Linked DNA regions of Daphnia pulex. The protein of the gene in region 1 purifies or fractionates together with the protein of each later gene. This does not show direct contact. Links are inferred from orthologs where the notes say so. Each region holds a gene or a part of one and is shown on either strand. Other genes may lie near its edges.

Region 1 (3,666 bases):
ATGGCAATAAATCTGACAAATGCATGAAACTAATTCGGCAGGATCGAACTCGTAATCACCAACGTCTTTGACCTATAAGAAAAAGAAAATTAGTCAGAATTTCAATTTTAAAAGAAGTTACGTTACCTTAAAGTCCCGTTTTTTAGGCCCCACCAAGTGCAAGAGAAAGTAGTTGAGCATTGAGGCTACCCTGTCGACCATTGTTGAATGGACAAAGACTCCCTTGATTTCTGTCGTCATCATTTCAAGAATGCGGATCGTTTCGCGACCCATCAAATTGTGGAACCTGGCCAGCATCGTTATGTGCTGATAGGTGGCCTCCCTTTGATGGCGCTGGGGACCTGCTGGAACATTTGGCCACGAACCGTCTTCCCTCTGTTGTTGCTGCTCTTTCAGCTGGGCCATGTACGACAGTCCTTCGTCCAGCAAATAAATGGCGTCGTTGATGAGGAGATTGACAAACTGAAGGAACAAGGGCGGTTGGGCGGCTTCCATGTTGGCTTCCGCTTCCGCTGCCAGCACCCTGGCCAAAAATAAATTCATTATGTTAATTGAATTATTGAAAAGGAGGTGGAATTACTTGAACTGTCGTTGATGAAGTTTCAAACTCCAGAGGAATTTCATGGCCGCGTACATGGGCCTCCTATAGTTGAATTTCTGCTCGAAAGCCACTCCTTGGCCAGTCATTTCAATACTAGCGAAAACGTGAAGAAGAGTGCCGACAACATCGTTGGCACGGGGATGTTTCACGAAGAGAGCCGTCCTCGAACTGGGCGGAGCTGCATGGCCTCGATCCGGCGGCATCAAACCGTCCAACATTTCAGCCATTCCGGCTCTCATGTGCGGATTTTTAAGCCTGTTTGGCGATCCCATGAAAACTACAATCAAAGTCAGCAAATCGTCCAGTTGGCCTCGATCCAGCGTGCCGGGAGAGAAGCGGTTGACAAAGACAACAAAGTCCATGACGTTGGACAAACAAAATTCTGGAATGCAAGTCAACAATTCCGACGAGTGCTCCTTGTTTACGTCACAAGACGTCACGTTTGACGGATGGACACCCAACGCTGTACCACACAGCCACTTGGATGTGGCCATGATAAATTCGAACTGCATTTTCAACCATTCAGGTACTAACAAAACCGCCTGTAACAAAAATAAAGTCAGACCAACGACTATTTTAAATAAAGGTTCAATTTTTTCACCTTAAAACAAAGGTAGCTGGACATCATGACATCCATTCGTTCTTGGATTTGCTGGGCTACGGGAGTTTGGCCACTTTGTTCGGCGTCTTGGTAAGCTCTTTGAAGGCGATTGAAATTCTGGCTCATCTGCAGCATTTGACTGTGAACAGCTTTAGCGCCCAACTCCAGGGCCCGGTGGGTCATGTAAAACAGCTCAGTGGAAAATGAATAAGGAAGGCTTTTGGCTGCAGGTCGGTTCTCCTGCGTAATGAGGCACGTTTCCTTGTGCAGATCAGCAATGTGCACGCCATTGTCTTTGGTCTCTTTGGCGGTACAAAATGTCGCGTCAATTTTACTGAGACGATCGCAAGATTTCGGGTCGTCGGTAGAACAGAATGGCCGGCAGAGCTGAAGGAGCACAGCACCTAAATTGGTCATGAATCCGTCGGAAACGCAGTGGACCTGTGCTGTCATATCATGCTGGGCCCACATTTGCCCACGAGCCTTGTTTAACTCCAATACTTGCCCTAGAAAATCAACAAAAGAAAATTATTTCCACCTTTTTTAAGTTTTTTATTAAAAGGTTAAAATTACCCAGCCATTTTCGGGTGAGATTTTGAACTTCCGGTGAAGATTTAAACAAGTTATAGAATATTTTATAAACTTTGTCCATAATGCGCTCTGAGGCAGACCAAATGTTTCCTTCGGTGGTGGCGTGAACACCGGGCGGTGATCTTGAAGGTCGGTCGAAAAAGTCTGAAGGCGTTCCTGGGACGCGTGGAATGCAGGAGCACAAGAAGAGGGAACCCAGTAGAGTTTGCTCGCATTGCTTCCCAACTTTGCCTATGATATTTTCATTCAAAATTGAAATAGAAACCATGTCTTTCGCCAGCGTCGGTTGTTTGCTCAAGACCATCATGGCGTCCAATTCACTTTGATTTCCCATTAGCAGGTGCATGTTGGTCAGCTTGGTTTTTAAGCTGGCAAATAAAGGTAAAAACACCTCTGTAACACCGGCAGGATTTTCGGGTGCTAGAAGGTGTTGTACAAAACTGTCTAGAAATGTAGAGGTGTCTTCAGAGGAGAAGGCGAGCAGTTGAAGAAAATCTTCATGCAGATTTTGCTCAGGAAACAATTCTGGTTGAGAGAATGCCAAGTCCAGGTTGACAAAGATGGTTTTTCTTACATCATGAATCTCTGGCTCATCACCATGGGTAAGAGAGCGCTCATAACACTGGAATAGATAATTAACCAACGAATGCTGCAGTCCAACGGCATACTCGAGAACAGCTTGGTCCAGTGCTGTCTGATCGAAACATTCTTGATTTAAGGCTTTGGACAAGTCCTTCATATAGAATAATGTGGAATTTTTCATTTGCTGAGGTTTGAGTGTGAGCCTAAACACATTTTCAGCAAATTCATTGAACCTGCCATTCTCTTGCTTAGGAATATTGTGACAATCTTGTCTTGGTGCATCTGAAACCGACGTTACGTTAGGGTTTCCAACTTCTTTGCTGAATAATGCGAGGAAGGGATTGTTATCCGTCATTTTATACAGATTCTTGGTATTAGCGCCTGTTGCAATAACATTTGTTAAATTCCTTTCAAATACATAGGATTTTTCACAAGAAAATTTATACCGCAAATTTATCCAAGGTGTCTTAATATTTTTCAATTTGTGAAAATGATTAGCAATGCAAAAATATGTTTATTTTGTTTTCATTGATGTGATCAGCTGACTGACGTTTCCCAGATGTCTTCTGCTACGGTTTTCTCGAAATTTCTATTTTTTTCTTGCCAGTCACGAAAAAATGTAAAAACAAATAAGAAGGTTAATGAAAAAATTATTTTAAATAATAATTTTCTGTTTCAAATTTAGATAATAATCTTGGACATGAATAAAATGTATATTTTTCTTGAATTCTTTTTAAAAGCATGGGAAATCTGGTTGATTATTAGTCAACGTTGTTGAATCATACCATTCAGACGAAGCCATTGTCACCCGGTGTGAATCTGCACGTTGCTTCGACAGGGCAACTCCTTGATTCAACGTCTCTTTAATTATTTCCTTTAAATCAAGTCGCTGGAAACTTTAATTCTCAAAAATGGCGATGCACGTACCTAAACCACCCGGTTTCCAGCAAATGATGAAAGAGGGCTCGCGGGTAAGAACAATTTATACACTTTACCGATTCAACTGACGTTTCTCGTGACTGGTCGTCTTGGTGATGCCCGACGTGTGTCAAAAAATGAGTTTTTGAACTTTGCTTTATTAAGCGATGGAAGGAAACATTTATGTTAGAATGCCTGACTATGGGAACTAAGTAAAGCTGATGGAATTTTTTCCCAGACATCTTTTCGTTTATTTTCGTAATAATCTTAATTTGGTAATGAAAAACCCTGAATTCTTCCCCACAGATGTTTCAAGGTCTAGAAGAGGCTGTCATCAGGAACATCAGTGCTTGTAAGCAGCTAGCAGAAACTG
Region 2 (3,754 bases), on another chromosome or scaffold:
ATGACATGTGACAACTTACAACGTCTTGTTAAAAAGTTACAATTGCTGTGTTGAGTTGCCGTTCCACGTTCCATTATCATCGCTGCTGTCCCCCGGGCTAGCGTCGGATAAACGATGGATGTTACTATCAGGTCGCCGACGACGGACACTAAAAAAATTGCAGTGACAGAAGTTGGTTCAACATCTGATTGGTGAAAGAGTTTGTGATCAAAATAAATCAATAATACCCTTGACTATTTGGTTGAGGCTGAGCTGTTGAATCCTGATGAGTTACACGCGGCGGAGGGTTGGCAAAAAATCCCCAAATCCAGTTCCAAATCCCAAATAGAGGTGCGAAGATTGCACTAAGCCACGTATTGCCGGCGGATCCATTAGTCTGAGGCTTAAATCCTAATAAAAATTAATATTTGTACTTTAATGGAAAAAAATGTTCTGGAATGCACACACAAAATAGAAATAAAAATTAATGGCACTAATCATACCAGTTCCAGCAATGGGGATAATAAGAAGAGCAGCAGAAGGAGTCAGATCCAATTCCCGTAAAGTCTGTTGCATATCCGATTCATGGAACTCACGACGAGGGAATGTAGTACTAAGAGAATATGGTCTAGATCGATAAAGAGAAATATTAATGAACGTGCACTTAAAAAATTTAAGCATCAAGAAATGTACAACCTAAATGGTGGTTTAATTTGTTGATCAATGAATTCGTTGACAGATGATAACTTGACGTCAGAAGAAAATTGCTCTGTACGGGTTGAACCGTCAGGCAAACGAAACTGCAGCCGAGAAAACGCACTACGAGCAGCTGAGGCTCTCTCACGTTGAAGTTGTTCTTGAGCACTTTGAGCAGCACGTCGTCGCTCTTCTTCGCTTGTCTGAGCCGCTTGGTATCGCGCAGCCCGATCTATCCTGTCTTGGGCAATATTTTGTCGAATTTTCTCTAAAGCTTCTTTTTCTTCTCGTTTTTCCTTCTGGCGTGAATCTGCCAGTTCACGTTGTTCGCGCTCACGTTGTGCTTCTTTGAACTGCTGAAGCTGTTTACCTAATTCCCGACGCTCACGCTCCTTAATTTTCTCTTTTTCACGTTCTTCTTCTATCTTCTTCTCACGTACTCTGGAAAATAAAAATATTAATTAAGTGTCGAAAACTACGCCATCAAAATTAAATTATTAGTTGAAGTTATCCAATGATAAGTAATGACTATTCATGCACTTACGCAGCTAGTAACTGATCAGCTCTTTCCAAGCGAGCTTCCAATGACAAACCAGATGGACCATCCTCACTGTTGCCAGGATTTCCACTTTCAGTGGTTTCTTCTTCCTGAGATGGTTCTATATTCTCAGATGTTGTCTGTAATACTTCCGCTTCAGCAATCTGAATTATTGAAAAAATATTTGATGAAATAATAATAAGAAACATTTGAACATTTACTCAATTAAATACCTGTGAAGCTTGGGCAACATTTTGTTGTTCATCATGTACCTTTAAAGCTTTCTGAGCTCTACTCAACAGTGTGGGGATATCAACAAGCCCTCCAATTACTTCCAACGGTGATCCTTGTAGACCAATCATATAAATTGCTGGTAAGACAACAAGGGGATCTAAGGAAAATAATCAGGTTGCAATAATATTATCAAATAATTTATTTAAAAAAAAGTTTACTTACACAACTGACTAAACATGTTGGCTTCACCGCTACCACTTTTCAATGAAATAGAAACAAAACTATTGAAAACACTTGAAACATTTTCTTCTTCTAATCTTGTCAAAAGTTGTTGTGAATCCTCATCTTCTGCTGTAACAACAACAACAAATATACATTTTCTATTGCGGGAAGCAATTATAGCTTCCGGAATACTGCCTTGAAACCAATGCATGTTTTCTTTTTCTATGAATTTGTAAACTCTCGAATCTTGACCGACAATAAATCTGAATGATAATATTTCTGTACACTACAGCAGTGAGCAGACTACAGGTTTACTGTTTTGTGTGTTTTAACTTTTAAGGTAGGGGCCAGGGGGCGGAGCTCTAGGAGAAGACAAGCAATGATAGCAAATTGATTTCACTCCGCAATTGTGCAAAGTCAAACGTATGACCACTGACCATGTGGTAGACAAACAGACAAAGTATAAACAATTGAAAGATTATTCCTTGAAGCACTTTTAATCGTAAATCATAAATACACTAAAAAAAGTTTGAATAAAATTCGATAATAACATACCGATATTCGATATTTAATCCTCCCCCCTCCATTCATAAAAAAAAAATAAAATTGTGATTCTTTTATTTTCATTGAAATATTCAAATGTTATGTCAGAATTTCATATCTGCTGTTTTCAAGAGTTACAGTCCTACAACCGCACAACGTCATGTTATAAATTTTACGGTTGAATACTTCGTTAATAGATACGTGCGCATTTCGAGCTGCTTAATCTATCTAAATCTAATCTCGTTTTTTTTTCTCGGAAAGTAGGCCTACTTCTTACTACTATTCCAGCTTAAACCTAACCACCTTTCTCTTTTATTACTGAGAAAGATTAGGCTTAATGAGCAGCAGTTGGATTTTCGAGAAAAGCTTGCATAAAATTGCTCAGCTAGTTTTTTTGTTTCGGTCTCTTAATTTTAAACACACTAAATTTAGGGAAATAAATTTTGTAACCCAACCCAATCTGATCGAGTAACGAACTCCTTTTTAAAGAAACAAAAATGAGAAATCCCGTATGTCGTATAAAAATTAAAAAATATCAAAAGCACAGCAATAACACACATACAAGTTTACCGGTTGTAATTTTCCGTATTAGTATCAGTTATTTGTTTTAAACAAGATATAATGCTTCGTATTACAGAATCAGATTTACTCTATTAAAATACAGTTTACAAATTTATTTTCCTACCCCACAGAGGATATGTAAATTAAAGATTTAAAAGCTTGCATAACACCCAAGTGCAAGTTGGAATTAGAATAACACTGATGGCAAAGAGTTTATTACTATGCTGTGCTTGCTGATCTAATAAAGTTTTCATGTTTTGCTCTGCTGTACAAAAAAAGTTTTCTACATCCATAGTATTTACATTGTCCATGCTGACTACAGTATTGTTTGAGGCTTTGAATTGCTGGCTTAGTTCTATGAGGGATTTTTTTTGGCCCTCAGATTCATGCTGTATTGTTTGTAACAAGGAACTTTTTAACTCCTTCCATTTTCCTTCTAAAACATCTTGACTTGTTTGAGGTGCTTGCAAATGTTGCTGTACAGCAGAAGAAATATGTGTTGATAGTTCTTCTGGATTCATAAGTATGTGGTTGTGTTTAGTTGCATTTTCAACCAATTCTCTGAGCTCTTTCATTTTCAAATGATTGTTGATTGTGGATCCAAGAACACCAACAATTGTACCCATAACTGATCCAATAATTGACCAATATTTAGTTTTTTCAGCTTGTGCTCTTTCTTTTTCATGAGAATCTCTTACAGTATGTGACAAGATAGCAAAATTTTCTCGTTCTTCTTTTTCTAGCAACTGTAAGTCTTCTTTTAGAAATTTTTCTTCCTTGATCACAGAGTGTTCCTGGGTAATGAGAGCAAGATATTTATCATCCCCCCGTGGAACTCGATCTAGTTCAATATGAAGTTCATGTAATTTTAGTTGTACAAGACTTATTTTTCTTTGTAGATCTCGTCTGTCTTCCTGAGACTTGATAAATTTTTGTTCTGACTGAATACACATAAAAATACAGAGAATTAGACTGTGATTT

Evidence for each region.
Region 2: the proteins of ubiquitin conjugation factor E4 A-like (region 1) and UBX domain-containing protein 4-like purify together in Homo sapiens (affinity purification with mass spectrometry; 3 studies listed by BioGRID and IntAct, counting the BioPlex papers as one, with this or other methods). This does not show direct contact. The link is inferred for Daphnia pulex from reciprocal best matches to the Homo sapiens genes UBE4A and UBXN4.

What each region holds. Positions count from the first base shown.
Region 1 is NC_060021.1:167,898-171,563, forward strand, and holds the start of ubiquitin conjugation factor E4 A-like, read right to left. Parts: upstream 2,953-3,666; 5' UTR 2,822-2,952; intron 2,757-2,821; 5' UTR 2,731-2,756; coding exon 1,776-2,730; intron 1,709-1,775; coding exon 1,203-1,708; intron 1,144-1,202; coding exon 581-1,143; intron 524-580; coding exon 127-523; intron 73-126; coding exon 1-72. Other genes in the region: T-complex protein 1 subunit theta-like, read left to right, coding at 3,287-3,346, 3,600-3,666.
Region 2 is NC_060018.1:8,416,088-8,419,841, forward strand, and holds the start of UBX domain-containing protein 4-like, read right to left. Parts: upstream 2,243-3,754; 5' UTR 1,881-2,242; coding exon 1,670-1,880; intron 1,605-1,669; coding exon 1,447-1,604; intron 1,378-1,446; coding exon 1,220-1,377; intron 1,117-1,219; coding exon 676-1,116; intron 608-675; coding exon 483-607; intron 391-482; coding exon 228-390; intron 149-227; coding exon 37-148; 3' UTR 1-36. Other genes in the region: mitochondrial potassium channel-like, read right to left, coding at 2,917-3,714. UniProt on the Homo sapiens protein: Involved in endoplasmic reticulum-associated protein degradation (ERAD). Acts as a platform to recruit both UBQLN1 and VCP to the ER during ERAD.